Linked DNA regions of Nothobranchius furzeri. The protein of the gene in region 1 purifies or fractionates together with the protein of each later gene. This does not show direct contact. Links are inferred from orthologs where the notes say so. Each region holds a gene or a part of one and is shown in the gene's direction. Other genes may lie near its edges.

The links.
Region 2: the proteins of larp7 (region 1) and drg1 purify together in Homo sapiens (affinity purification with mass spectrometry; 3 studies listed by BioGRID and IntAct, with this or other methods). This does not show direct contact. The link is inferred for Nothobranchius furzeri from reciprocal best matches to the Homo sapiens genes LARP7 and DRG1.
Region 3: the proteins of larp7 (region 1) and hp1bp3 purify together in Homo sapiens (affinity purification with mass spectrometry; 3 studies listed by BioGRID and IntAct, with this or other methods). This does not show direct contact. The link is inferred for Nothobranchius furzeri from reciprocal best matches to the Homo sapiens genes LARP7 and HP1BP3.
Region 4: the proteins of larp7 (region 1) and ltv1 purify together in Homo sapiens (affinity purification with mass spectrometry; 3 studies listed by BioGRID and IntAct, with this or other methods). This does not show direct contact. The link is inferred for Nothobranchius furzeri from reciprocal best matches to the Homo sapiens genes LARP7 and LTV1.
Region 5: the proteins of larp7 (region 1) and kpna3 purify together in Homo sapiens (affinity purification with mass spectrometry; 3 studies listed by BioGRID and IntAct, with this or other methods). This does not show direct contact. The link is inferred for Nothobranchius furzeri from reciprocal best matches to the Homo sapiens genes LARP7 and KPNA3.
Region 6: the proteins of larp7 (region 1) and srp9 purify together in Homo sapiens (affinity purification with mass spectrometry; 3 studies listed by BioGRID and IntAct, with this or other methods). This does not show direct contact. The link is inferred for Nothobranchius furzeri from reciprocal best matches to the Homo sapiens genes LARP7 and SRP9.
Region 7: the proteins of larp7 (region 1) and rplp0 purify together in Homo sapiens (affinity purification with mass spectrometry; 3 studies listed by BioGRID and IntAct, with this or other methods). This does not show direct contact. The link is inferred for Nothobranchius furzeri from reciprocal best matches to the Homo sapiens genes LARP7 and RPLP0.

Annotation. Positions count from the first base shown.
Region 1 is NC_091742.1:73,341,321-73,345,777, forward strand, and holds the start of larp7 (la-related protein 7), read left to right. Parts: upstream 1-1,584; 5' UTR 1,585-1,731; intron 1,732-4,201; exon of another isoform or gene 4,202-4,222; 5' UTR 4,223-4,227; coding exon 4,228-4,423; intron 4,424-4,457. Other genes in the region: NACHT, LRR and PYD domains-containing protein 3, read left to right, coding at 156-239, 365-448, 643-720, 817-1,135. UniProt on the Homo sapiens protein: RNA-binding protein that specifically binds distinct small nuclear RNA (snRNAs) and regulates their processing and function.
Region 2 is NC_091746.1:51,122,585-51,126,890, forward strand, and holds the start of drg1 (developmentally-regulated GTP-binding protein 1), read left to right. Parts: upstream 1-1,467; 5' UTR 1,468-1,618; coding exon 1,619-1,657; intron 1,658-3,359; coding exon 3,360-3,483; intron 3,484-3,629; coding exon 3,630-3,805; intron 3,806-3,881; coding exon 3,882-3,951; intron 3,952-4,298; coding exon 4,299-4,306. UniProt on the Homo sapiens protein: Catalyzes the conversion of GTP to GDP through hydrolysis of the gamma-phosphate bond in GTP. Appears to have an intrinsic GTPase activity that is stimulated by ZC3H15/DFRP1 binding likely by increasing the affinity for the potassium ions.
Region 3 is NC_091743.1:76,856,377-76,860,825, forward strand, and holds the start of hp1bp3 (heterochromatin protein 1-binding protein 3), read left to right. Parts: upstream 1-1,455; 5' UTR 1,456-1,582; intron 1,583-2,020; 5' UTR 2,021-2,034; coding exon 2,035-2,101; intron 2,102-4,449. UniProt on the Homo sapiens protein: Component of heterochromatin that maintains heterochromatin integrity during G1/S progression and regulates the duration of G1 phase to critically influence cell proliferative capacity.
Region 4 is NC_091747.1:66,352,686-66,357,153, forward strand, and holds the start of ltv1 (protein LTV1 homolog), read left to right. Parts: upstream 1-1,554; 5' UTR 1,555-1,712; coding exon 1,713-1,715; intron 1,716-2,070; coding exon 2,071-2,202; intron 2,203-2,278; coding exon 2,279-2,464; intron 2,465-2,748; coding exon 2,749-2,836; intron 2,837-4,312; coding exon 4,313-4,439; intron 4,440-4,468. UniProt on the Homo sapiens protein: Essential for ribosome biogenesis.
Region 5 is NC_091754.1:26,743,974-26,747,714, reverse strand, and holds part of kpna3 (importin subunit alpha-4), read left to right. Parts: intron 1-3,287; coding exon 3,288-3,377; intron 3,378-3,463; coding exon 3,464-3,493; intron 3,494-3,580; coding exon 3,581-3,633; intron 3,634-3,725; coding exon 3,726-3,741. UniProt on the Homo sapiens protein: Functions in nuclear protein import as an adapter protein for nuclear receptor KPNB1. Binds specifically and directly to substrates containing either a simple or bipartite NLS motif.
Region 6 is NC_091742.1:28,143,432-28,147,683, forward strand, and holds the start of srp9 (signal recognition particle 9 kDa protein), read left to right. Parts: upstream 1-1,271; 5' UTR 1,272-1,401; coding exon 1,402-1,473; intron 1,474-1,580; coding exon 1,581-1,649; intron 1,650-3,893; coding exon 3,894-4,013; 3' UTR 4,014-4,252. UniProt on the Homo sapiens protein: Component of the signal recognition particle (SRP) complex, a ribonucleoprotein complex that mediates the cotranslational targeting of secretory and membrane proteins to the endoplasmic reticulum (ER).
Region 7 is NC_091743.1:54,619,459-54,623,708, reverse strand, and holds rplp0 (large ribosomal subunit protein uL10), read left to right. Parts: upstream 1-1,233; 5' UTR 1,234-1,313; exon of another isoform or gene 1,314-1,525; intron 1,526-1,599; 5' UTR 1,600-1,653; coding exon 1,654-1,707; intron 1,708-1,789; coding exon 1,790-1,965; intron 1,966-2,193; coding exon 2,194-2,281; intron 2,282-2,631; coding exon 2,632-2,778; intron 2,779-2,906; coding exon 2,907-3,092; intron 3,093-3,170; coding exon 3,171-3,311; intron 3,312-3,492; coding exon 3,493-3,645; 3' UTR 3,646-3,702; downstream 3,703-4,250.

The DNA of each region.
Region 1 (4,457 bases):
AATTTACACGTTTAGCATGCATGTGAAACTCAGAGAGACTGGTCATATTTCAAGTGTTACACAGTTTCCCAGTGACGCCTTTAATTAAACAAAACGAAACCACAGCACTGTATGTTCAGTTGCTTTTCCACTGACAAAACTACTATATTCTAAAGGCTTGGAGATAACAACTTGGACATGGATGCCATCCAGGTTATTGCCGATACTCTGAGAGTGTCAGACAATATCACTCACCTTGGGTAAGATCTCGATAAAATATCTGAACACGTTTCAGTTTCAAAATAAACCCAAAGCTTGAAGATTTCCTAAACAGAATGACAGACTAAAATATGTCCCAATGTGTTACTTTCTTTTCCTCATTTAGACTTGGATGGTCAAACATCGCTGATGAGGAACTGGAGGCTCTTTCCAATGCCATACGAGTGAAAAGAAGGCTTCAAGAGCTGTGGTAAGAACCTTCTGAGGGTGACGTGGCATTTCAAATGAACTCTTTAGGGAAGTGAGTCAAATGACAGAATTAGAAATCGGTTTAAGCTTTGGTAATTTTGTAACATTCTTTTTTCCGGTTTGATGAATTTCCACACCTCTTGATTGATGTAAACACTAAGTGGGGGATTTTCTAAACACGCTCTTCTCTCACAGGATGGAGGGGAACCGAGTCAGCTACAAAGGCCTGTTTTCACTCAGTGACTTGACTCCATTTCCACTGAAAAATATTGTGTAAGCTAATGGCTTTGTTTTAAATCAATTTAAATTCTAAATATTTGAACACTTTGTTATTGTAAAAAAATGCATTTAATTTTCATCTTCTTACAGAGCCATATGGAATGACTTGTATGACCCAGAGCCAGAGTCCCTGTGCAGCCAAGAGAGTATTGCTGTGAATTTTACAGATGACGAAATGTGGGACGAGTGGGGGAAATGGGTCCTTCAGCGCTGTGAGGTCAGCAGCAATGAAAAGTTGGTCACGGTACTGCGTAACGTTTGCAACACATCAATAGATTGCGTAGAGGATCAGCGGGCAAAGACTTTCTACAATCAGTTATCGCAACTCATCAAGAAAAGGATTGAGTGCTGCACTGAGGATGATTTGTGCAAGAAACTAAAAAAGTTTGAAAGTATTTTGAACATATGAAAATGTGTAGGAAATATATGAAATATGAAAAATAACAAATGTATGTAGTTTTGTTAATGTCAAATATCGCTTTTTGTGTAACTTCTTATGACTCTACACATACATTAGAATAAAATGGGAAGTATTAAATAAATGAATGAATGAAATAATTAATATGAAGGATGAAACAATGCAGCACAATAAAGAATGGCCCGTACGGAGATTGCAACCGCAATCTTGGCGCTATTAGCACCACACTCTAACCAACTGAACTAACCGGCCACGGTTTACGTCGTGAAATCGTTATGTATTGATCTTAGCTCATATTTCGTATTCTGCTGTCCGCTATATGATGCACATTATTTTGTTTATATTTTTAAAAAAATCGACTGGATAGAGTTCACGCAAATTATCAACAGAATCACTGAAACCGAAATGAATGATTGGTTTACCTTTATTTTGAAAAGACTTGCCGGATGTAGAAAAACGCTCATGACGACTTCAGGCTGCGACGGCTCTGAGCAGTCATTAGTGTGATGTTATGCAGCAAGCTGCGATTTAATAACATTTTTACGAATTTAAAAGCCAACTGGTCTTTTTATATTTTCTTAAATTGGGTAAGTTTTCATTCTAGTTTTTCCTCTGGGTGATAAAGATCGGTTTTCCAGGTTTGGAGGTACTAACACCAGCGCAGCGTTTTTGAAACCAACCCGCGAATTCCCCTGTACTAACGTCGAATGTTGTTAACAAATGTTAGCCTTACGGACCGCGGAAACAGTCAGAAAATGTGTTATTTTCCTTCTAAATAATATATGTTTAGTGCCATTCTGGTTTTAAGTATATTATGCTTCACAATTCAAACAAACACGTCATAAAACGACAAAATACACTCACTGGCCACTTTATTAGTTACAACTGTCCAACTGCTCCTTAAGGAAAATTACTAATCAGCCAATCACATGGTGGCAACTTAATGCATGTGGGCATGTAGAGATCACGAAGACGATCCCCTGAGTTCAAACCGAGCATCAGAACCGGGAAGAAAGGTGATTGAAGTGATTTTGAACGTGGCATGGTTGTTGGTGTCCGATGGGCTGGTCTGATTATTACAGAAACAGCTGATCTTCTGGGATTGTCACACACAACCATCTCTAGAGTTTACAGAGAATGGTCCAGAAAAGGGAAAACATCCAGGGAGCAGCAGTTCTGTGGTTGTTGATGCCAGAGGTCAGAGGAGAATGTCCAGACTGGTTCGAGCTGATAGAAAGGCAACAGTAACTCAAATAACCACTCGTTACAACCGAGTTATGCAGAAGATGCGAACCTTGAGGCAGACGGGCCACAGCAGCAGAAGACCCCTCCACGGGTACCTCTCATGTCAGCGAAGAACTGGAAACTGAGGCTACAACTCACACAGGCTCACCAAAATTGGACTAAAGAAGATTGGAAAAATGTTGCCTGGCCTGAAGTGTCTCGACTTCTGCTGTAACATCCATCCTGCCTTGTATCAACAGTTAATGCTGGTGGTGGTGGTGGTGTAATGGTGTGGGGAACATTTTCTTGGCACACGTTGGGCCCCTTTGTACTAACTGATCATGTTGCAAAGCCACAGCCTACCTGAGTATTGTTGCTGACCATGTCCATCCCTTTATGACCACAGTGCACCCATCTTCTCATGGCTACTTCCACAGGATAATGCACCATGTCACAAAGCTCCACTCATCTCAGACTGGTTCCTTGAACATGACAATCAGTTCACTGTACTCAAATGGCCTCCACAGTCACAAGATCTCAATCCAGTAGAGCACTTTTGGGATGTGGTGGAACCTCTGAGGAATGTTTCCTGTACCTTGTTGAAGACTTAAGGCAGTTCTGAAGGCAAAGGGGTTCAACCCGGTGCTAGCAAGGTGCACCCAGTAAAGTAGCCAGTGAGTGTATATATCTGGTGTAGTTCCTTAAATGGTGCTTAAATTCCGGACGCATTTTAAATAGGGTAAAAGTATAAATAATGCAAATAAATGACAAACTTTTTAATGGTAAGTTAATTAGATGAAGGTTTTGTTTGATTTTTAAAGGTTTTGTGCACCTGTGAACCGACGGCAAGTGGCAAAGAAATCAAGTACATTTCTTTTACAAAACATTCATGTTTTTTTGGGTAGTTTATTAATTCTGGCTGGATCAAAATGATTTTGATGGCTTCATCTAGTCTCTACACTAGATTTAAATACTAAACAGATCTGGTGGCTTAAATCTGTTCTTATCGTCTTTTAAAATGTGATCTCTGCATATTTTAGGCTTTATATATATTTAGACAAACATCAGTTACACAACTTAGCATCCAGACAGCATATTGGTGAATAAACTGTATGTTTCTGGTGTTCAATATACAGTTATAAACTCTGAGAGTGGTAAATATTGTATGATCTGCCAAATGTAGTCAGGGCATGTCAATTGAAGTCTGTTTTTTAGGAAAAGGGTCAAACTACTTATAGTCCAAATGTTGGCCCAAAAAGAGAGTGACACCTTTGTTTGTTTTCAGATTTGTGTATTTTTGGTCTCTTAACCTTATTTAGTCGTTTAACTGTACTGTTTTTACTCTGAGGCGTTGTTGTTATATTACGTATTATAACTACCTTCTCAGGGTTTCTATGGAAATAAGTGCTTTATGCTTTTTTTGTGCTACCCTGTATATTTATTGTTTTTATGTCATATTGTGAAACTTACTTGTATTATTTTATTCTATAATTATGTTATCTATACAAATAAAAAATCAATCTATCAACATAAAGATCATAATAAACAATCCAATGATCTACGCATCCCTAACTCACTCATTGTCACAAGGCTCTACCCTAGAGTTTCTAGTACAGTTTGACTGTAAAAAGTCTTGACTCTCATTGTTTGTGTTCATGTAAACAGCTCTAGACATGTGCGTGCTGCTTGTGTGTTAGCAGCTTGTATTATCAGTAGGAGACCGTCGTTCATTCTGTCGCTTTGTGATTAAATTAGGTCTCGTTCCTCCCAAAAACTCCCGTAAACAGACAAGTCCACAGTCGTCTACTCTTTCTGAATGTGTCTGTGTTAAAGAGCTCCGCTGTCACCCCACAGCCAGGATGCTGAACACAGAGAAAGAAGCAGCTGATGCAGTAACATCTATGGAGAAGAACAAGGAGATGGAAAGAAAAAAAAGGTCTCGAGTTAAACAGCTGCTCAGCGACATAAAGAAGCAAGTGGAGTTTTGGTTTGGAGACGTCAACCTGTACAAGGACCGCTTTCTGAAAAAGCTCATCGATGAGTCCGACAAAGGATGTGAGTGTCTGAAAGTGCTAGTTCTAAATCTCAG
Region 2 (4,306 bases), on another chromosome or scaffold:
AGCTGGCAGCCCGCGCAGCAGACAGAAGCCGCGATCAGACAGAGATGCGCCGAGCTGCGGGGAGGGAAGAACCGGGTGGAAAACATCGGTCTCCCGAGAGCTCCACAAGCCGATTGTCGGAACCCAGCTCCACCAACATGTTATATTTCAACCCATTTTCTAAAGTGCAGCATTATGTTAAATGCACTGGGTTTTACCCTATTACATTTAAATTTCATGGTTAATCACTACATGTTAAAATCTAAGCTCAGCTCGGCAGTGACCTAAAATACATAAATATAATTTTACTTACCGAAAAAAATGAAGTGGAGACTCCTTGGACGCTCTATTAGTGCAATTAATACCACAGCAAGTCTTTTTGTCCAACAATTGCACAAAAAATATCCAAAAAAGAATGTACAAACACAGAGACTCAAAATCCTGGAACAGTTTCCAAGCCAGACCGAGGCTCTACTGAGAGCTAGCTCTATGACTTTGAACGTCAGTTGAGAGTCAGTCTCATGCCAGACTGACCAGTGAAGAGAGGGCCTCAAGTTAAGACCCTCTCCTCATTGGTCAGTCCACACAAGGTGGGTCAAAGGTTACCCTGAGCAGGTTACATGATGTCAGGCATTCAAGTATTGAGTATATTTACTGCATATTACAGTAAAATATTCTGTATGTGACCATATTATGGTGATCCTTGGGTCATGATGATGGGGCCCTTGAATATTGTTGCCCAGGGTACAACAAAGTGTTAATCTGGCCCTGCTCCTGCCACCAACAGAGCAGCTGTTTTGGGGAGTTTGCAAAGAAAATGTGAACTTATCGCTATCATAATCATTCTGTCCTGTTTTGCAAAATACTGCGTGCTTTTTGTTTCTTTTACTTACAAAACTGAAACACAACTGTGAAATTATTTATCACACTGTTGGACATACTTTATATCTCTTGGCTCTCAAGCATTGATGCAATCTTATTAAAGCAGAGTAAATAGGATAAACATGTATGCCTTACCTTGGTGTGAAATATAATAAAACTGCCCTTTTTCACCCAGGTTGCAGGTCTGTTTCTCTTCTAGAGTAATGAAAACTGCTGAAAAAAAGTCTAAATCATAATCAGCTTTGAATTCAATTTCGATATACATTTAATCAGATGATGAGAGATGTGTTCTAACTTGTAAACAACAATATTTATTATAAGCTCACATTTGACGTTTTTTATGTAATTTTATAAAAGAAAATGAAGCTGGTATGTTGCAAAATAGGACAGAATGGTTATTGTAGCGCTAAATTCATATTTTCTTTTTTAAAACTCCTCAAGACCTAGGCTGTAACCCTGTAGCGAGGAAAGACGGTTCCTCTTACATTAAATAGCCAATCGCAACAGAGCCCATCCAGCTAATCAGAGGCGAGAAAAGCGGGACGTCATACGATTCCAAATGACGTTTACGGCGAGGCTACGTAGGGAAGGTCTTCGATCTCGCGAGACTTTCCGTGAATTGGCGTAGCCGCGTTTGTGTGGTGTGTGTTACTGTACACGCTAACTAAACCTAACCACCTAAACTTTGTCATATTTGTCGGTAAACCTCTCCGGTATACATAGTTAAGGTGAAGTGGTCTTTAGAATCAACGTAACCATGAGTGTGCTTGCCAAAATAGCAGAGATAGAAAATGAGGTAAGGCGAAAGTTGACGCTTTAAACCCTTCGAGTCTGTCACGTTTAGTTCACATAGCTACTGCTAGTCGCTAACGCTATCTCATAAAAGAAGATCCATTTTAACCTATATTTGACTGGCCCCGCATCCCTGACAGTTTAAGCTGTTAAAAAAAGAAAATGTATTTCAGTGTTCAGTTTAGTTGTCACTTATAGATGAATAAAGAGATTAATGTCAGTTCACAGATGTTGGCAACGCATATGCTAAACCGGTTCTAGCTTAGATTTGAATAACTGATTAATTTAATCTGTTAATTGCTTTAATATTATCGTTATTAACTGACAGATGCGCTGAGTTGACAATATCGAAATGCACTGACGCGAAAACGGCACCGGACCAAATTTTTGTTTTTAAGCCACTCTGAGCGTACAGGCATCAAATATAATTCAGATACGTGTAATAAATGGTTGTTTGTTGGTAATCTGTTATAAAAGTACAAATTGTCTCCAGTTCTTTAGAGTGCTACAAAATATAAAAGCAGAGTTAGAATTAGGGGTAGACCAATATATATAGGCCGATATTAACGGTTTTTTATACATCAGTGTTATTTGTCTTTCAGAAAGCCAATTTAAAGTCAGGCACATCCTCAGGCAGCCCGGTGCTGTTATAGAATTTAATCTAAATGTATTTTTGCATTCACTAATAAAATCTGCATAATAAATACTCTAACTTTATATAGTTGCCTCACAGTGCACAAAGTTAACAGTTATGGGCCATTCCCATCTGTACCGGGTCGGCCCGGGCCGGGTAGCGTAGGTTGTTTACATATCTGGGTGGTCTGGTATTTTTCTGGGCCAAACAAGGCTCATTCTCAGCCCTCTTCTCAAGGGGGTCTGCTTCAGGCCGACCAGGGCCAACACACCCACTGCTGACAGCAAATTCACACCTTCCATTAGAGCAAGCCTCTGATTGGTGGGTAGAATCAGCCCACATGGGCTTAAGACAAGAATGTGTGGAATCAACCAGGCCAGGCTGGGGCCGACTGGGGCTACCCGGCCCGGGCCAACCCGGTACAGATGGGAATGGCCCATTATTCGTTAAATTTAGAGATCAAAAACTGCTTCAGAAATTTTGTGCATCAACCGTTATTAGTGACAGTTAAGCATGAAAATCAGGTGGAAAATGTCTAGATATTGGCTATTTGAAATCGGGCCATAAATATTGGCAATACATATTGGACATTGGCTGAACTTGTCTCCTACATTTCGGCAATAGAAAAACAAATATCAGTAAATAAAGATTATTACAAGAAAATCAGCTTCCTAGGAAGCAAACCTGAAGAAGTTATGCGTGGTTTAAATGTTTTGAACAATGCTACTACTGTATTATTAAATAAACTTTTTCGAATAATCTAAATAAGTTGGTGTAATGAAATAGATATCCATCTTTCCATCAAAACTAATATTTTTTCTGCAATATCTGTATGCTGTGTGTAAAGTCAGATAGAACACAGATATGTATGACCTCCTATAATTATACTGAGCTCATATTAGGCACCCATCCAGTCTTCTTAAAGTTTCCTTTTAATTTTGAGCAAGCCATGAATCAAAATTTAGACATTTCAAGTAATTAGCTTCTGTTAAAGTTCTACTTTGAAAGCAATAAAACGGTCCAGCTAAATGTTTTACTTCTTATTTCATCATGCACTCTGGTGTTACTGTAGATGGCCAGGACACAGAAGAACAAGGCCACAGCTCACCACTTGGGTCTGCTCAAAGCACGTCTAGCTAAGCTGAGGAGGGAGCTCATCACACCAAAAGGCGGGAGTGGTGGTGGACCTGGAGAAGGTAGTCTTACTATATTGTGTATTTAATTCACAAATAGCTCCAATTCAGGAATTGTTTCTGAGGTTTCTCTCCCATGAGGCATTTAAATTTATGTCTGTTTTTATCCATAATTACAGAAATTCAGGTTTTTATTCTCTCACATACAGGTTTTGATGTGGCAAAAACCGGCGATGCTCGAGTTGGTTTTGTTGGCTTTCCTTCAGTAGGAAAGTCCACCCTGCTGAGTAACCTAGCAGGTGTGTACTCTGAGGTTGCAGCATACGAGTTCACAACGCTTACAACAGTTCCTGGGGTCATTCGGTATAAAGGTGCCAAAATTCAGGTACAGGAAAATGTCTTCCAGTCCTGAGATATTAAAGTGGTGTTTCATTGGGTTGAGATTTATTTTTTCTTTATAGCTCCTGGATCTTCCAGGAATCATCGAAGGAGCCAAGGACGGCAAGGGTAGAGGCAGGCAGGTCATTGCAGGTAGAGTTTTATTAGATTTCTGCTAAAGCAAAAAGAAAGCCACTGATGTTATAATTTTGGAATTTAACTGAAATCAGAAATTAACTTTGAATAAAAGGTTTTTTTTATGAATTGCTGTCAACTAGACCTAACTTGTGTGTTTATAACCTAAAACACGATGACTTATTGTAAATGTTTTATTTATAACTGTTTCATGTTCTTAGAGGCCTTAGCAGGGTTTCTGCAACTATCTAGCTCCTAAAATAGCAAACAATTGTGCAGACATGGCAAGCTTTATTCTCTTGCATCATTCCAACTGTATCTAATAAAACAGAATGTTATCTTTCCTCTTTCTGTTTTATTCTCAGTGGCTCGA
Region 3 (4,449 bases), on another chromosome or scaffold:
TTACGGCTGGAATTTAATTTGTTTTTGTGTCTTTTTTTTTTTCTTCTTCTGCGACACGGTTCTGAAACATGCCGCCATCTTGAGTTTGGATTCCGACGGTGGAAGCACTAAATATCTGTATCATACATAGAAAATATTTTTGTTTTAAATTTTAACTTACTTTTTTTGTTACTTTTTAAGAAGAGACTTAAAAATACATAGGTTCTGGACTCCTTAATTTATTATTTTTTTAAGGACTGCAAATATGAAAGTTATTTAACCTTTGCAGATGCTCACAACAAGGACACAACAATATAAATAACATTACAGTTAATTATAATAACACAGTAGTTGCGAGATGGGCATCTTCCCTGGATTTCACACCGTTTGGTTTTGAAAACGGGGTTCAACAGCATTAGTCTGAGAAGAATGGGGAGCAACAAAGGAGGGAATAAACATGAACTATTAACGCTGTTAAAGGTCAGAGGTTGTCTTGGAATAACCAAGAGGTGTTCCCTGAGCCTCAACTTGCTGTGTTAATATGAACACATGCCTCGAGAGAGGTAGAAGTGTGCAAATCATAACTCAAACTACGCAGAACAAGGCGAAACTTAACTAAAGTTAAATTTCACAAAGCAAAAGGCCGGGGCCGCTGACCCAAGATGCTTGTAATTCTTAAGCCCTACAGAGCAGTTTAAAGCTTGTAAATACATTAAAGACAAAAAATGTATTTAAAAAGGTGCTGATTCTTGTGATTTCTTATTTTTGTGTTGGTGTTTCAAGGAAACATTTCCTGCCTGAAAATCATTTGGAGCCTTCTATCATTTGTTTTTCTTCATTTTGGATATAAGAGCCTGACAAGAACAAGAGGTGTACCTGTAGACATAAATATGCCAGGGTGCACCTGGAGAATAGCTGGAAGACTCCAAGCCCATCTGCTGATCCACTCATGTCAATTACAATTAATTCTGTCAGAATTTTTAAGTTCTGTCCCAATTGACATGCAATACACACACATGTTATATCTATAACTGCAGTTAATTGAATCAATAAACTTGCAAGTTAGAATATTTTCCTTTTTCCAGCCAAAAGATAAACTAAATAGAAATCCATCTTCGGTTCTGCTTTAGGTCTTTGAGAGAATTTATTTGAATATGTTTGTAGAATATACCATTTCTATTTCCTGAGGATATTCCCTCCAGATATAACAATTTGTTGTTCACTTTTATTTTGTTCCGTTGGGTCAGGACGGTGGCATTGCATCCGTTTTTATTAAATGGGAGTAAAAATTAGAAACTTCACAAAAATATATTTAACAAAATAATTGCTCGTTTGAAGCAAAAAATTGTGAATGATTGCCACGTTGGTGCGGGACTGTAAATTCACCTCGTTACAAAAAAGTTCTCCAGCGTTTCCTTTTGTTTTTGTTCCCTTTGTGTTTGTTTTCTGACGGTCTCTTGGTCACGCACCTTCGACGTAATGTGTGACGTTCTACGTCACCAACGGTCCAAACGGGGCGGGGCTCGTTAACCAAGATATCGAAATAAAGGAACGTGCAGAAATTTTTAAGTATCGTTCTTTTTCCCGAAAAGCAGAAGGTAAGGTAAGTGAAAAGGGCGCCACGGTTCATGTTTTGGTTAACTTAAACTTGCACGATTCCCACGCTTAACAACGACACCGCTGTTGTATTTGACCATGGTACTGAAAGAATCCCATCTACCTTGCACGACGCCATTACTGTGTTTCTAAACCAATGGACAAAATGGCGAAATTGCCGAAAAAGTCTTTCAGCTAATTGTGTGAGTTTCATGGATTGGTCCCTTTGTTCCAGGCTGTAGGATAAATGAGATTACGGTGTGCTGACTTAAAGGCAGTCAGTGTTTTGTAAAAACAAAATAAATCGAGGTTAATGAAAATGGGCCTGGTGATTGAATTAAGTGTGTTCGGCCGTAGTAGTGGCCGCCTGCCTCAACCACGGCACGCACATAAACAGAAATGGCCACGTACCGCTGTGCGGCCAACACATTTTTCCTGTGTTCAGGTAAATCCCCCATCATGCCGATTCGCCGAGCAGCAGCGACTCCAACCCAGGAGAAGGCCCCCTCCTCAGCTGCAGAGAAAGGTGAGGCTGGGGTCGTCGGTCCCCTGAACCACATCCATGAACCCAGATCGACATTTTGGGATTTTCTGTTTCATCTTTTACACTGAAGACGTGTTAGTAATCACGCCGGAGTTTTCCTACATGTGTGTCGGTGCCTACAGAAATTTAATGTCTTCATTGCGATACTAGTATTTATTAAAAAAAAAAATGAAAACGTATATTTAGATTTTTACACTCACGTTTTGTGAGTCAATGCTAAATTTAGTTGATTTTACCGAGTTGCAGATTTCTTTTAAAAGAACCACAACAAACGTTTTTAATCGTTTTTTTCCTAGCCTGGCATGCCTTCCTACACTGAACAAAAATATAAACGCAACACTTTTGTTTTTGCTTCCATTTTTCATGAGCTGAACTCAAACATCTGAAACTTTGTCTACATACACAAAAGACCTAGCCTAGTGAACTAGACCAAATTCTTGCTTTGCAAAGTTTGGTCTAGGCATGCTCCATTGGAACCTCTGCAGCTCCTACCAGGACTCTGGCTAGCCAATCACAACTCTCTAGAGGGGTTTCAAACACATTAGGAGCTGTGATTGGTCCATAATGGTGAGCCAATCATAGTGCTCTATCTGCTTAGTGAACAAATCACAAAGCTTTATCCACTTTGTGGGCCAATCAGGGCACTCTATATGCCTGGTGGGTGGGATGATGCAACAGAGTGAAACAAGAGTATGTCACATTCATTGTCCAGTGGAATGCAGAGATCATTTGAAAGACAACGGTAGAACCCGCCCCACAACGGAGACCCGTCAATGGAGCGTGGCCAGACAAATAATACATTTACTTAGTCTGGCTTGCCAGGCTACAAAAGACCCATGACTGTCAGAAGTTGTTCTGAAATCTGTCTACGTGTGTTAGTGAGCACTTTTCCTTTACCAAGATAATCCATCCCACCTCACAGGTGTGGTATATGAACAGTGGCGGATTTAGCAATTTGAGGGCCCAAGGCGAGCACAGTCATGGGGCACTTTACACAAAATTTTCGACAATCTTACCTTTAACTGGATTTGCAAAACTCCCCTTTTCTGACATGAGTTATTTTCCCTTTTTATTAGTCCTCTTTTTTCCTGTATTTCCCTCCCTTTGAGTGCTTTCAATATTTGCTCTGCTTTCTTTTTCCTGTCAGTGCTCCTGTGCTTTTGCCTTTGTTTTTTTTTTTTTTTTTTTTTTTTCATTTTGGTCCATGTTTTCCTCCCTTTAACCATTTTCCATTGTCTTTCCCTTCTGCTTTCTTTTGATGTTTACATCAAAAATCGACGTCACTTTCAGAAGTGAAAATAAAAGCTAAAATGAAGCATGCTGCTTCTTTCTCTTTTTGGATCCACTAGGACGGTGGTCGGCAACCCGCGGCTCTGGAGCCGCATGCGGCTCTTCCATCCATCTGACGTGGCTCTCTGTGCTTGTAAAATAATGAATGGATATTTACATAAAATTCTTTATATTTTACTGCATTAATTTTACATCTGTATGCCAATTCTAAATGTAAAGATTGTCTGCGTAAACCTGAACAGTTCCAACCCAGTCTTACTGTGAGACCGGGTTGACGGGTCACGCTTGTGCGTAATCATAGGCGCTTCTGAGCTGAAGAGGATGTGAGATTCTGGGATTCTCCTCAGATGGCTCCTGGGTGTGTCGCCACATTGGGACAAGCACTATTCAGCCAAAGTTTCATAATCAGGGAACATTTCCTAAGTGACAAGTCTCGCTTTAGTCGGAGGAATCTTCCTGCATGCGCTCTGGTTCTGCGACGCGCTCCAAGCCCCTCTCCACATCTTCAGCTCGCTGTGCACCGTACGTACGCGCTGACAGTAAGCTGCGCTAAGCAGTGTCCAGCTCAGATGTTCAGATGGGAATCTTTTTAGTGATTTAGCTACATCTGCAATGTGCGAAACAAATAAAATGTCAGTTCGTCTGCATGCGTCGGGGTAATTATTTTGACAGAGAATGAATAGAAAGAAACAGTCAAATACGGGAACTGTCCAGTCAACACAAGCCCTGCTTTTAACTGTTCTGTTTCCTTGTGATAATTGTTGCAAAGAGATATAATTTAACTTGATTAACACCAGAGCCAGGCGCACTGCGCCGTTATCTCCGTCACTGTAAATGAGGGAAAAACAAAATGATCGGATCCTTTTCTGACCTTCCCCACCTACAAAGTTTAATTACAACAATCAAACGTGACAGAGCCTGGATTTGTATTCTGAACAGTCTAAACATGTTTTAAAAAGAAACGTATGACAAAAGTGGCACCTGCTCAGTAAAACCACCAACAGGGTGAAAAATATCTAAATATTGTAGGCAGAGACGGG
Region 4 (4,468 bases), on another chromosome or scaffold:
AGAATCAGAAATAATTTTATTGCCAGCGCTCCAGCGAACCAGAGCATAGGAACTTGACTCCACAGAACAGCCTGACCAAGATTACACACACACACACACACACACACACATATAGACAAAACAGATACAGTCCTGAATGGACAGCTGAGAGAGACAGATGACATTCCACACCTTCCAGGAATCGAGCATATATCCCGCTGCGTGTGTCCCGTGAGGGCAAGTGGGAGCCCCCTCCTCCGTTCTCATCGTAGAAAAAATCTTATCAATCACGTTGAATGACCAATTAATTAAATCCATTTCTGAAAAATAGTGATCTCCAGAGGAAATGCAGAGAAGCGCTCTGTAGTCAGACGGGACAAAAAGAGCCTTGGGAGAAAAAGATAAGGGAGCAAAGCAGAAGCGACTGTGCTCTGTGAGTGCCAGGAGAAGAAAAAATATATATGATATTGTATTTATGATTTTTTAAAATCTAAAATAAGCCCACACACCAAGATATAGATCTATACTGTATATAGAATTTCGATATTACAGACGATGCTGCACTGTATACACTGTACACTGATATTACTCGTTACACCCTCCTGAATCAACGCAGGCGTCATGCAACTTTAGAACACTAACGTTGAGTCCGTACCCTCAAGCAGCAAGGGCAGCTGTAGACCATGATAAAAGATCATCTTTAATTTTCGTACTTACCTTTAAGTCTGTAATTAGGCGCCATTCTTCCTATTTTACGGCGCTCTTGTTCAATCGCCGGAAGCTCTCCGTTGAGGAGAAAAGCATGCATTTCTGTGTATTCGGAGATATTACCCGTCAAAAGCAAACATCTGTATTTATTTTCCAAATGTTTCTGACATCTGTGCTTTTTGTGGTTGTAAGGGAGAAAATATTGAACATGTTTTTGTTGATTGCTTTCATGTAACTTTGTTTTGGTTCCATTTACAAAGATTCATTTCCAGAAAGTTAAAAAAATATTTCTTTAAGCAAATATGAAATACTTCTTATTGTTACTAACCCTCATTTATCATCCAATGAAAAATACATAATTAACTTAGTCATTATTTTAGCAAAATATTATTTACATAAAATGATTTTTCAGAAAAGTATCCCCTCCTTCTATAATTTCAGAATTACAGACCTTATGAAATATTGGAACAGCATTGAAAAATTAAAAAAGAAGAACAACAAACTAACAAAGACCATCAACTTATTTCATCATTTCAACTTAGACACAGCAGACCCCTAAGTGTTATGTTTCTACGTTATATATGTTTTCGTCACTATTTTGTTTATTTCTTGTTTTTTTTTTGTTTAATAGTTTCCTAATGTTGCATGTATGTTATTGCTATTGTAAACAACTGTAAAATGTGATCCATGGATATATTGAATGTATTTTCTGAATGTATCGACCACAAGTTAATAAAACCTTTTAAAAAATAAATAAAAAATAAATAAATTTATGTGTATTCGGAGGTTTAAACGTAACGCAGTCTGTAACTGTCGCAAAGTTGGCAAAGAGGAAGTGACGTAAAATTCGCGCATGCGTGTTACGGATCGGGTTTCCGGCACGGGCATCGCCGTCAGCGTGGAAAGACGTTACTTGTGTTTTATGTGAAAGGTCGCTGTCTCTAACAGATACACGGAGGTCGAGTTTTTATAAACATTAAATCAGTGTCAGCTGCTGAAGGAGACGTTTGTGATTCCAGCACAAAATGGTAAGAAGACCTTTTCCTGCTAAGCTAGCCGTGTTAGCTAACAGCAGCTAAGGTGGTGAGCATAACAACAAGTATGTAACAGCTAACGCTCGTTTATATGACTTTAATTCAGCTTTTCTAGATGAGCTGGTGGATGTCGATGACGATCTCAAGCGTGTTTGTTCCTTTTCCCTCCAGAAACATGAATGTTTTGCATAGATTTAGAAAACTTGTTCAGAAAGGAAAAGATGCCTTTTTGTTCACGTCCTCCTGCTCTCATTCAGACAGCAACTCCAGCTGTTATAAGCCATCTTAACTCGGTGGCGTTTATCTGATTTAACATGTTCTAACTAAATGTCGTCTAAATCTGTTCCAGCCTCATCGAAAGAAGAAATCATTCATCGAAAAGAAGAAAGCGGTGACCTTTCACCTGGTCCACAGGAGTCAGAGGGACCCTTTGGCTGCAGATGAAACAGCACCACAGCACGTCCTCCTGCCTGCCACTAAGGTCCAGCTGCAGAGAAAACCTTGTCAGATGTCCCCAAAGACCTGATGTGGTTCTAACAGGACCTTGTGTTTTTCAGGCAGAGGCAGAGAAGAGGCGTGAGGAGCAGAGACAGTTTGGTGTTTTCTTCGATGATGATTATGACTACCTGCAGCACCTGAAGGAGGCGTCGGGCCCCTCAGAGCTGGTCACAGCTGAACCCACGATTCACCGCCGACATGAAGAAGATGAGGAGTGTGAAAAGATTACAGACAAGAATGTTCCTGTGAGTCTCTGTTTAGCCTTACTTCAGCCCTGAAGGTCACGTGTAGGACGTTGTAGTTTAGAGAACGGCAGGTAGTGACCCAGTCGTGTATCTCTGACCATTCTGTTTCTTCCTAACCTTCATAAGAGCTTTATCAGAGGAGTTTCACGTTTTACATTTATTTTGGTTTTATTAACATTGATCAGCTGAGAGGGAGCTGTCAGCCATGTTTATTTACACACCTGAGTGATGCTGGCCGGTGTGATACAAGGACTGATCTAATCCTTGTTGTGCTTTCTGACCAGGAAGCTTCTATCCACCTGCCCTCTTCAGTGTTCGCCTCAGAGTTCGAGGAAGAGGTGGGACTTCTGAACAAAGCTGCACCTGTTTCAGGTAGAGCACCTCAGATCAGGGATGCTTTGATCTGGTCATGTGATCTGATTTCTGATCAGGATTCAAACAATCGGGTGGAAAAGATCAAGCATGAGATTTTCAAACAACGGCTTAGTTTTTATGTTAACAAGTTGCACTACATCAATATTCATGGTTTCATAGACCACACTGACACTGTAACGTCACACAGTTTATGGCAGGTAGGAGCTTGGACACCGTAACATGCACCTTCATCTCCTCACGCTTAGACTACTGTAACTCTCTTTTCACGTGTCTGAGCAGAACCTCCCTGAACCGTCTACAGTAATCCCTCGTTTATCGCGGTAGATGCGTTCCAGACCTGGCCGCGATAGGTGAAAATCCGCGAAGTAGGGACTCCCAGCATGCCCCTCGCGGGGATTCCCTCCACGTCGCACCTACGTCACAAACCGCGGCTATAAACGGAAGTCGCCTTTCCAGCTCACCACTCAGTCATCGTTTCTTCAGATTCATGATCAGTTTCCAACCTACCGATCAATCCAACGAACTATCAGCTCATAGTAAGTTATCTTACTTACTTCTGGAAAGCCCGGCATTTCCGTGTCACTTCGTTGACGCTCGAACGCTCGGGGGTTTCCTAGAGCAGCCGGCGTTTCACCGACGCTATCACTTCCGCGTCTGTGAAACCACGCTCCCTATTGAATTATCGTATGATCAGATTCTCTTTTTGGGGGTAAAACTCAAGAAAAAAATTTTTTTACTTGTTTTTTTTTTGTTTTATTACAAAAAGTGCATTTTATGATGAAATTGATGAAAAAAAACAAGAATTTCTTGATATTTCGCATAGAAAAATACCGCGAATCAGTGAAAAATACCGCGAATCTGCGAATTCCCCCTGAAAAATGCTCCAAAGAAAAAATCCGCGAAGCAGCGAATCCGCGATGAACGAACCGCGAAGTAGCGAGGGATTACTGTACAGGTGGTTCAGAACGCCTGTGCTCGGCTTCTGACCAAGTCCTCCAAACACACCCACATCACCCCGCTTCTCCTCCAGCTTCACTGGCTGCCAGTCAACTTCAGGGTTCATTTCAAGATCCTGGTTCTGGTCTATAGGGCCTTACATGGACAAGCACCATCTTACATTGGTGATCTTCTTAGTCCCTACACCCCCAGCAGGTCCCTGAGGTCCAGTGATCAAAGCTTACTGGTTGTGCAGCACCAGGCTAAAGGTCAAAGGTGACAGATCATCTGCTGCTGTGGCCCCCAGACTCTGGACCTCTCTCCCCCTGAGCCTGAGATCAGTGGACTCAGTGGTCTCCTTTAAACTCACCTGTTCAGGCTTGGTGGGACCTTCATCTCCCTCTCCTGGTTCTGCTCTTGTTCCTTTGAGAGTTCCTGAAAACGCCTCATCTGGCTGGGAGACGCATGCACGTCGGGAAGTTCCTGTAAATTTACCCTGATGCTCCGGTGGTGGAAACAGCTGATGTGTTGTTTCAGGACCCCGACTGGACATGGACCCAGATATCGTGGCAGCTCTGGATGAAGACTTTGACTTCAGCAACCCTGACAACATGCTAGAGGACGACTTCATCATCAGAGCCAACTGTGCAGCCGGAGGCTGGGTGTGAGTAAGTCCTAATGGTTCCGGGTTTA
Region 5 (3,741 bases), on another chromosome or scaffold:
TAAACTTCTGACAACATATAAACAACGTCAAATAGATGATAGCGTTAGTTATTGGATATTGACCGATTTGAGTTTTTCTGTTGCCGATATCTGGAGGTCCTGGACAGCCGATGGCCGCTAAGTGCTGTCGATTTTCACAGTTTAAGTTCTAAATGTTTTCCACCTTATCTGCATGATTAAGTGTCACCAATAACAGTGGCTGCACAACATTTCTGAAACCCTGAATGTAATCAACTGTTTAATCTATAATTAAAATGGTAATAAAGCTTTTATTAAGTAGATGTTTTTCAGGAACTTAAATATATATTTAAAAATAATTCTGCTGCACATGGATGTGCCTTTAAATTGGTTCTACTAAAAAGGCATATTGGTCGACGCTGACCTCAGAACCTCAGAAGTCAGATCTCAGACCTGGAAATGACGTCACACCCAAGTAAACCACGTTCTAGTCACCGTTTTCGGAGAAGCGGGGATCCCATCATGGCGACGCCCTCAAACGGCTCTTTTGTTAGCTCATAATAAACATCACTTGTTTACTTTTTAATGTAACATTGATTTTAAATGCACTCTTATGAATGTGTCTTGTAAAATAAACACAATGCAACTAAAACTTGATGATCCAGGAAGAGGAGCAGGGCCTGATGCCATTTTGGATGGCAGCTCTCTGGATCAACGTCCAGTGCAGAGAGGCATTTTCCATAGAGGCTGAATTCATTCCGAGTTGCCATTTAGTCGTGAATCTTCTGTCTTCAGCCTCAGATTATTTAATCCAGATTACTTTGGGAAACTAAGCATTTAACTCTGTGATTTATGTAATTCCACAGCTTCAATTTGCTAGTTCAGTTTTTAGATTGAAAATGAGATGGTTCATTATTACTCTTTATTTTGTTAAATTTGCTAGCACACAGTGATGTCAAACATTTTACAACTAGTAATAATAGAGAATTTCATTTATTGGTTCTTTTCAAGACACTAGAGCATTTTATTTTACAAGAAATGTTTGTTTCTATAATTTATTTAAACGATGGCAATTATCCCCATGTCTCAATTGCACTGTTGCCGTTTGCTAGACTGGACCGCCATTCCTATGCCTCCTCATGGGAAGCAAAGGGCCTGGGGCCTCATTGATCAAGCTTGCTTACTCACAAAACGGGGTCGGAAAACAGCGTAAGCAACTTTCCACGCAAACTTTGGGATTTATGAAAGAAAACTTAGCAGAAAAATGTACGCAACTTTTAAGTTGACTAAGGACCTGGCTTACACACATGTTGGACATGGAGAGCACCTGCAGTGCTGCTGCTGAGAAGGATACAATTATGAAATCCTGCAGCATTATCACTTGTACTGCTTTGTTTTCACACAGAACAAGTTACTGACTGGCTTTCAAAGTAAAATGTTACTTCCTATTTGTTCTTGTTCACCTTCTAAACTATTTAACCCTTTTTTTAAACAAATAAAAGAATTAATGATGCACCGATATTAAATTTTTGGGCCAATATTGATATCCGATATTAAGATCACTGTTGTGGCCGATAACAGATATACTGACAATAATGCTTCTAAAAACAGCAGATTTTGTATAGAATGAAATTACTAAAGCTGAATTTATGTTATTATGTACACACACCACACACATTTACGCTTCTGAGATAATGACTAAACAAATACCCCCCACACACACACACCACACACACACACACACCCTGTGAAACAGATGGAATGGAAAAAATAAGATGGAAAAAAAATCAATTGTTAATATCGGCCCAGTTTTCTTTATTGGACCGATACCGAAATATATTAAAAAAAAGTCTTAACATCGGCCGATACCGATATGATGCCAATTTATTGTGCATCCCTAAAAAGAATATTCATAAAAATGTCTGTTAGATTTGGTATTAACATTTTCATCCCCAGTTTTTCATTTCACAATCTGGTGATGCTCATTTAAAGAGAGAGATGGTTAGATATATTTAGCATGACATTCAGAAGAAAAATGGATGGCTTTGAATTGGTAAAAGAATGGTTTTTGAATCAAATCATTTAACTGAGAGCCAGTGGAGCTTCTGCAATGTGGGACGCGATTGGTTGGTGAATTGGTGTCTGGAGGTGATGGGGCGGTCAAAAACTAAAGTTTGTGGCTAGATTTGTGAGGGAAATGCATCCATGTGGGCTGTGACCGGGTTTTGTACAATAGTGGAAACACTTTTAAGGGACAGGCGGATGAATATTAGGCAAATGGAGACCTGCAGCCTGACGTGAGCGTGAAACGATAAGGAGCTGTTGAAGATGACTTCACTGAGGAGTGTTGGTTTATTGCCAGGGAGAAGCTTCTGATTTACTGTTTGATTCTAAGAAGAACATAGTCTGAAAGGTAAGAGAGGGTTTTGTTGGAAAGCCAGTTGGGTGTCATCAACATAGCTGCAGACATTTCTGTTGGACGTGTGAGAAAAGTGTTTTTCAGCATTTGAAAACAAACGGAGCTTTGAAAAAAAAGGAAGTTGTTTTCTTGGCAGGGCCGCGTGCAGACATCCAGATTAGCTTGTTCACGAGCGGCGTTCAAATATTCCGTGAACTTTGAACTCAATCAAGCTGATTCTGTTGGGGAGTAAACGGCTGCTTCATACTTCAGTGACTTGTTGATGTAAAGAGATGGGGGGGGGGGGGGGGGGGGCAAGATGTCTGCCGTGAGGTCATTCTGTCCACCAGACGTTGACTTAATCATCTGATTATCTCACAACCTCTCTAGAAGACCGTGTCATAAAATTGACAAATGATGAACTGGTTCATGTGGACGTGTGATTTATGTGCTGAGCATGAACTCCTCTGAGTTTTTATCTGTGTGAGTTGAGCTTTGAACTGGATCTTTGGTAAAGCCTTCTCTTGTGTACTGAAGTGGTTCTGAGTCGAGCACATTCCGTGTTCAGGGCAGCGGGAATGCGCCGGCTGATTAGTCATCAGTGACGCACATCAGCATGATGCACCAGAATGTAGGGCAGGGGAATCTCCTCCTACCCCTGACTCGCTCGCCTCCCAAACTCTGTGTGTGTGTGTGTGTGTGTGTGTGTGTGTGTGTGTGTGTGTGTGTGTGTGTGTGTGTTTTGAGGGAATCAAAGATAAACATGTCTGTTTTGTCTCGCTACCTGATATGAATGGAGTTGTGCTTAAGAAAGTAAACCTAGTTTATTTTTTTTTAGATAACGCTCTTCAATAATTCCTTTAAGATTTTCTGAACACTGATGGGTTCTCTCTTCTGTTCTTCCACTGATGTTTGTTTTCTTATTCGTCAGAATAAACGAGACGAGCATTTACTGAAGAAGAGAAATGTCCCACAGGAGGAGAGTCTGGAGGACTCTGATGTCGACTCTGACTTCAAAGGAGTAAGTGTGTGTGTGTGTGCGCGTGTGTGTTTTGTAATGAAGTGTGCAAATTATTAAATGTGCTTCTACATTTTCAATTTTTACAGCAAAATGTTACACTTGATGCAATCCTACAGGTGAGCTTTTTCATTCTAGCCGTCCTGTGCTCTCAGATGAGCTGCTGTTCTGTTCTATCTGACACTCTCGTGTTTTTGTCCCCGCAGAATGCAACCAGTGATAATGCAGTTATACAGCTCAGTGCTGTACAGGCAGCCAGGTCGGGGGCTCTTCAGACGTCGTTTATGTCGACATTTCTTGTGATTGTTTACCATGAAATGAAAGTTTGTTCGTTTTCGTGTGTTTTGTCAGAAAACTGCTCTCCAGC
Region 6 (4,252 bases), about 45 Mb from region 1:
GTGTTTGCGGGATGTTGGGGGTTCTTGGTCTGCTGAGGATTGTGGGACGCCCTTGGTGGTGGGTGTAGATGGTGGGGCTGGGAGTGTGAGTATGGGGTGAACCTCCATGTGGGGTTGTGTGTTTTCACTGGGGTGTGAACGGGTGGTGGGTTTTTGTTGGTGGTGGTTGTGTGGGAACACGGGGTGGGATGGTACTCGTGCCTGTTGTGTGCAGTGGGTTGTGCTGGCTCAGTGTGTTGGCTGGTGTGGCAGCAATACGCTTTATAGGTGTCTAGCCTGCCTAATTTCAAAGAAGAAGAAGAGACACACGGGTGTTTAAAAGGGCAACATGGAGGTCCCTGAGGATCAGGGTTGGGAAACACTGGTTTAGACTGTACAGTTACCCACTGTATATACGTATTTGTCTTGCTTTTATCAACTATTTTCAGCTTGAATAAATTGAAGAGTTCCTTTGTGAGCAGCGGAAACACTTCCTTTATTTGGTTCAACATAAAATCACCCATGCTGCTTTAATGTAAGTGGATACAAACCAACATTTCATCAAAGTCTGAAATCTCTAAGCTCCTCTGTATACCACTAGCTAGAAAACTGGCTGCTCCTTTTGAAACCTAAAAACATTTAAAAAGAAAACAAAAATGTGTCACCACAGAATATCCCACTGATTGTTCCTACATCAGGTATAGACAACAGAGTAGCTTATGAGAACAACTCTGAGGCCTGGCTGAAGTGGCTGAGTCTTAATTTCCACTAATGATGGTGATGCATCCTTTTCAGCAGTTTTAGTAACTTTGTGGTTGGATGGTCCTCACTTGGAGAAGCCCTCTGTAACGTGTAGAGAAGTGCGTCGTCGGCAATTAAACGCAAGTTGGCACTCCTGTAATAAATAAATAAATAATAATAATAATAATAATAATAATAATAATAATAACAATAATAATAGAGACCATTTGGTCAGTGAAGAAAAGTTCGTACAGCTGTTTTAAACCTTTGACAGTTTCAAAAAAAGAAAAAGAAACTTTTCCGGCATACGACACGTTCATTCAAAATAAAAGTCGTCTGACTCTAACGAGAATGTTCAGAAACGTTAAACTGAGATTAATGTTGTAAGGACTTGTGCATCAGACGGAGACAGACAACTATTAATTTAATCGTGATGCAAGATAAAAGTGTCAGTAAAGTGGCGATGATCGATTAATTTAAAATGACTTGACTTGAAGTGGCTTATTTTTGGTGTACTTTTACTTTGAAAAAAGGTTGATCGACGGGTTTCCGTATCCTCTTATCTGAAATCTGATAGGCTGCTGCGGCTTTGCTGCTGATGTGGGTTTTTTAAGTTAGCTTGTCGCTTCTCCGTTGCTTTAACCCCACATTCTGATCTAACTCTGTACGTTTGGGGAAATAATGCCTTACTATCAGGTCTGGGAGGAGTTCGCTCGCGCGGCAGAAAAACTCTACCTGGCAGATCCGATGAAGGTGAGTTCGTGTGTTTTAGCACACGGAGCTAGCTTGTTAGCCACATGATGGTGTTGGTTCTGAGCGTCATGCCAGAATTCCTGAACGCGTTTTTGTTGTTTTTGCAGGTCAGAGTGGTCCTGAAGTATCGACACTGCGACGGTAACCTGTGCATCAAAGTCACCGACAACGCTGTGGTGAGACAAACGAAGGAAACAGAACGATGTTCTGCTGTTTGTGTCAGGTTTACCCCAGCGTCCACCTTGTGTTGATTTAAAGTTCAGCAGACGAAGTAAAGCGACTCCACTCCTAGAGATGCAGCGCTTCAATAAGGGTGACAGGAGGAAAACGTCGGTTAAGTGTTGTAACCCCATATTCTAGTTTAGCCCTTTAAAGCGACGCCTATTGGATAATCCCTTCCTTATCCAATCACTGAAGAGCTTTCATGTACGCCAGCCCGCCTATGGTGGGTCCCATCCTGATCCTATAAAAGGTCAGTGACCACAAAACGTAAAGCCTGACTCATGCTTAAGCAAATGCACATTTGCGCCCCCTGCTGCTGCGTCGTATCCATCGACATATATATACTGGACAATTCATTTCCATAGGCTCCAATAACATGTTTTTGAGGCTAAATGGGAGGTGGCCACCACCGCCATCTTGACCGTGTCACTTGTTCAGTCAAGCCCCGACAATTCCACAAAAGGGAAGAGAGGAGGAGCTGAGGGTGGGGCTGTAAGGCTGGGATCAACTGACGACACCCGGTCGAACTAGCTACAAGCTAACCTGAAGCTAACCCAAAGCTAACGCGGAGGTGGGAGCTAAGCTAACGGAGGTAGCAACCTAGCTACAACCGGAGTTAACTGTGCACAACACCAGAGCTTCTGAGTCAGAGATACGCCGGGCTGACCGCTGGGGAGAACCGGGTGGAACACAGAGGTCTCCGAGAGCTCCACAAGCCGATAGTGGGAACCCAGCTCCACCAACATGTTATATTTCAACCCATTTTCTAAAGTGCAGCATTATGTTAAATGCACTGGGTTTTACCCTATTACATTTAAATTTCATGGTTAAACAGTACATGTTAAAATCTAAGCTCAGCTCGGCAGTGACCTAAAATACATAAATATAATTTTACTTACCGAAAAAAATGAAGTGGAGACTCCTTGGACGCTCTATTAGTGCAATTAATGCCACAGCAAGTCATTTTGTCCAACAATTGCACAAATAATATCCAAACAAGAATACACAAACACAGAGACTCAAAATCCCGGAGCAGTTTCCAGGCCAGACCGAGGCTCTACTGAGGCCTTTCCCCGGAGCTAGCTCTGTGGTCACGTGGGTCTGATGCTCATTAATTATACAGAATTTTAGGCTTTTAATACACTTAAACAGAAGAGTGAGAAAAACATTCACCCCCCTCAGAGTTGTCATGAGTGTAAACTAGATCATTTAAACCAAAAACATGTTCTGGTACCAGGCTGTAAACATGTTTATTTCTGCTGTGAAATTGGTATTTTTAACATGGGAGTCAATGAGGATTTGCTCGCTTCTGACACCAGCCCCTAGTGGATGAGGGTGGAACTGTAATTTTTGGTACCTCCGGGTTTGACTCCATTTTTGAGCCACATGGTGGGGGCTTGGTCGTATCTCCTCTAATCATACTGGCCCGACCCTGTTGCAAAGAAATTCTCCGCCAAAACAACAGATTTTGTCTTTGGCTTTCTTTATGTTTTTGAGGGGCCAATGGCGGCGCTGTTGACGACAGCGACATGCTGACTAATCGCAAGCTTGCGTTCTCTGTCTCGTTGGATGGATGTTTAGGGAAGTGGGCTCGACTCCGTCTGTCCTTGTGAGCCTGCTGGTAAACCCCTGCGTGGACGGACAGTGGCGTTGCGTGTGTCTGCGGCGAGAGATGCACACGATGTTTTGCTTTCAGACTCCTCCATCAGCTGAGGATTGTTGCAAAGCAATTCCCCTCCAGGACAGCAGAGGGCGTACCACTATTCTGAGGTATCCTGCCACCATTAGTCACATTTCCGGTCCATGATGGTGTACTTACTGTTGTGTTTACATTGTTATATTTCAGAGATTTTGTCCCTCAGTCCTCTCCACCTGTTCATACAGTCGGGGCCTCTAAACTCGCGGTTCTTGTCTTCTCCGTCTACAAATAAAACACCCGTTGCATATTTTTGTACTCCTTCAGTCGCGGGCGAATAAACGCGCATATTTTTTTCCGCGATGCGTTTTTCAATCTTATCCGTGTCTGCCACTAAATATCTTTAATTTTTGAAGCCACAATGACTGTGCTGTTGATGAAGTGACAGCGTCCTCCTGACCAATCACAAGCTTGCGTTCTTTGTCTCTTTCAACAGACACTCTAGGCTCTAGGGCATGTTGATGATCTTTCACCATCGGTGACGGTTTGTTTCTGTTTTCAGTGTTTGCAGTACAAAACAGACCAGGCTCAGGACGTGAAGAAGATCGAGAAGCTGCATGGGAAACTGATGAGACTTATGGTGTCCAAGGAGACGCACAGCGGTGCCATGGAGACTGACTGAGAGGCTCTGGAGCTCCTGGACTGAGCTCAGTGGGCACGGTGCATTTCAGAAGCACCAGGATGAGGTGGGATGGTGGTGGTACCGAGGAGGACACGTGGGGACATATGTCCGTCTACACCGATGGAAGACGTGTCTTCATTACTGTTTGTTTTCTTCCCTATTTTAAAAAAATTGCAACGCTAACTGATTTTCTGTTCTGAAGGGTGTTGAGGAGCCCCCCCACACACACACATCCACAC
Region 7 (4,250 bases), on another chromosome or scaffold:
TTCAACGGCCTTCACCAGTCGCAATCCCGCCCAGGCTGGGATACGGAGACAGAGTTGCCATGGCGACAGCAGCATTCCACATTTCTTCTGAGGGGGGAGTATTCACTTCAGCCTCACAGGCTCAAGGGCACCAGATTCAGATAAGAACTTGTTTTGGGGCCAGACAGAGATAATTTCCTCTCTGTCTTAAAGTTCCATTGGTCTCCAACCCCTCTAAATCTAATAATGGTGTAAATTAATCGATCCCAATCCGCGCTGATCCGTCAACTCTATCCTTGATGTCATCAACCTTCTTTGCCTGAGTCTGAATCTCAGCCAAAGTTCCAAGCTTACGACTCATTTTGACGATTATATGAGTTTGTGCGTTCACAGCGTGGTGTAATCCATCCCTGAGCTCCGGGATTGAGCCAATATTCCTTGACAGCTCATTAATTTTCCAGTAAGGCAGTTAACCACTCAGGCTGTTCGCATCCTACTTTCCACCAGGTAAAAGGAGTTTAGCCGGCTTCAGAACATTATTTTGGCTCATTTTGAAATTCTGAGTGTGACTTTTAAAAGAAAATTTGGGACAAACTGTAGCAGCCTTCGTTTCGCGCTGCTGTTCAACATGCCATCTGCCATGCCAACGTTGGAAGTCTTGGTTTAAACAACTGACTATATGGTCAGTGTAATTTGTGGTATTTGAATTTTCTCAGTTGCTCTTAAAAATGATTTCTCCATAATAAAAAAAAATCTTCGAAAACCGTTGGAAACCCCCTTGCTACTAAACTTTATGCCTTATTAGAACAGCTTGATTTTACTTGAATTTATTTAATCTCTTTTTCATAAGAAAAATAGATCCTCTTTGAGATTTGTTTGGACTTCTTTTCTTGCTTCCATTTTGTTCCCCTCTTATTCTTTTCCTTACTTTTTTGTATAATTGATTGATATATGTGACACACTAAAGTTCTGCTCTTTTTTGCTAATTTATATATATATATATATATATATATATATATATATATATATATATATATATATATATGTATATATATATATATATATATATATATATATAGCTTGTTGGAGGTGCAATTTTATTTAAAGATTTGTACTTGAATTGCTAAGGGAATTGTGTTATTGTTCTTTTTGTTAATAAAGTTTTTTTTAGAGTTGACACGAAAGTGATGGTTAGTTACTAAAATGATGGACAGGAAAATGGTCCAATGAATGTGAAGTTTGCCCTGTCTCTGTGCTCTGGTTGGTCGACAGTTTTGAATAAATACTTCTCGCGGCCAACCTCGCCCTCTTTCTTTCACGCGCCCTGCTACTTGGTGAGCCATGTTGTCTTGTTGCGTTCACAAACCAAAATAAAAGATTAGTTATTTGTAACATATTAAAAGTGTGTATTGACTTCATTTAGATACGCTACCCAATGATGTGTAGCTCTTTATCCTTTTCTAAACACGTAATTCGTTTACGTTAAATGCGGCCTGTTTGGCTAACGCTAACCAGCTAATGTCAGCCGTCGACCTCGTGGGAGACGGTAGAGTTTCTAACACTTCTGGTATTTGTTCTAAATTGAGTTTGGTTAAAACTCAATATGTTTTCTGTTTATAGATTTCACCTTGTCTTTAAACCGGCTGTAAAGCGATCCTTGGAAGCACTGTCAAGATGCCCAGGGAAGACAGGGCCACGTGGAAGTCAAACTATTTTATGAAAATCATCGTAAGGTTGATCTTTACGCTAACAGCGGACGTGATTTGACCAGTTTCCGCAGTTAAATTAACACGCAGTGTTCTATGTGCAGCAACTTCTGGATGATTACCCAAAATGCTTCATCGTGGGGGCAGACAATGTGGGCTCCAAGCAGATGCAGACCATCCGTCTGTCTCTGCGTGGGAAAGCTGTGGTGCTGATGGGTAAAAACACCATGATGCGCAAAGCCATCCGTGGTCACTTGGAGAACAATCCTGCCTTGGAGAAGTGAGTTTTATGCTAACAGCTTTTTGTTGGTGCTTTCCATGGAGCAGGATCTCTACTGTACAGCTTGTGTGGTGCTGTATTGTCGTTCCCCCTGCTGAAAGTAACATGTCTCCTGCTATCCCTGACTGTCTATGTCCCCCGGCAGCCAGGGACGCAAGGCCTCAAACAAGCATAACTAAAGAATGTCAAAAATCATTGTCTGAATTAGCCAATCTTTTGTTTTGACAGGCTTCTTCCCCACATTAAAGGAAATGTGGGGTTTGTTTTCACCAAAGAGGACCTGACAGAGGTCAGGGACTTGCTGCTGGCTAATAAGGTAAATGAATAGTGTCTGGTACAGAAATTATAAAATTTATGGTAATTTAAGTCATTTTTACTTCATAATCATGTGAAACGCGTACAGCGATAACATTAGAATGCACATTTTTGTGTGGAAATCTTATAAGTGTGCAGGATAAGTTACAATACAGCCAGTTCTGTACTGTATTGTCGTTCCCCCTGCAAACAGTGACTTGTTTCCTCGCTATCCCTGTCTGTCACTACGTATTGACTCTCAGGGACGTAAGGTTTCAGACATTATAACGACTATAGATACTGATTTAGTTTTAGGGTTAACGTTTAAGATTTTGTTTGACAATGACAATTTTTCCTGACATTATTCCTCAGGTACCTGCAGCTGCTCGTGCTGGAGCCATCGCCCCTTGTGATGTGACGGTGCCAGCTCAGAATACTGGCCTAGGTCCTGAGAAGACCTCGTTCTTCCAGGCTCTTGGTATCACCACCAAAATCTCAAGAGGAACCATTGAAATTTTGGTGAGTTTAGACAGCTGTTCTAGTTTTTAATTTTAGATGGAAAATTGGAAATCGATACCATGCATTTTTAAAAATCTTCAAAAGTGTGGCAAAGTGCACCCAGTAACTGCTGCTTTTGGTTTTTTTAGAGTGATGTCGGCTTGATCAAAACCGGTGACAAAGTTGGTGCCAGCGAGGCAACTCTGCTCAACATGTTGAACATCTCACCCTTCTCCTTTGGACTCATCATTCAGCAAGTGTATGATAATGGCAGTGTTTACAGCCCTGAGGTGCTTGACATCACAGAGGCTTCTTTGCACACCAGGTTCTTGGAGGTGAGGCACAAGGTCTATTAACATTTTAATGTTCAGGGACATTATATGTCTAAATTGCACTTTTCTTAACTTGTCCAGGGTGTGAGGAACATTGCTAGTGTGTGTCTGGAGATTGGCTATCCCACTTTGGCCTCTGTCCCCCACTCGGTCATCAATGGCTACAAGAGAGTCCTGGCTGTCGCTGTGGAAACGGATTACTCCTTCCCCCTGGCGGACAAGGTGTTTGACTCATTCTGCTTTAAATTGTTTTTGGTTAACTTGTAAACCTGTTGGTGTAGCATGCATCGTGCTGCACGGCTGATCCTTATGCAAAAGGCATGTTAAATTCACGTCTGTTAGGAGTGCTTATTTTTGACTAATAGCATAACTAGAAATTAACACTTTGATATGTCCTCCGCAGGTCAAAGCCTTCCTGGCTGACCCATCTGCTTTTGCTGCTGTCGCAGCACCTGTAGCAGCTGCAGCAGTCTCTACAGCTTCAGCTCCTAAGGAGGAGGTGAAGGAGGAGTCTGAGGAATCAGATGATGACATGGGCTTTGGTCTGTTCGACTAAACCTGTGAACAGTGAATGAGTCAAAGATCTTGATTCAATAAACTTTAATAAAACACATTCCTTGTGTAAGTTTTTGAATATTTTAGGAGATAAACATTTATAAAAGAAACAAGATACTATGGCTTCCATGTAATGGTCTCAGATTAGCTGGGAAAGGAGGATGGGTCTGTAACAAACCAGATGATGCATCAGAGTGACGTTAAACATCAAGAACATTGAAACTTCCGGTTTGGGTGTGTCAACCTTCAAAATAAATTGATTACTTGATAAAAGTTCTGTAGAAATCGAAATCTCGGAATTGAATGATCTACAGTATTTAAAGGGAGGCTTGTGTAATGAGAAATATTATTTTATATATAGTTTTCCATCTGACCAAACAATGTTAACTTGATTTTATTTTTTTACCAGAAGAAATCTCAATGAGGTTAAATGTCAGTTGATCAAAACGTTTAAAGAGAAAAAATATCTATTGCATTCTACTCCGTGACAAAGTGAAAGGAATAAGAATATGTTTAAAATATAATTCCATTTTAAAGCATGCGTGTCCAACATTGACCTTTTATTGTGAAAAGCATGAACCGGAAGTGGAACTGGTGTGGTTACAG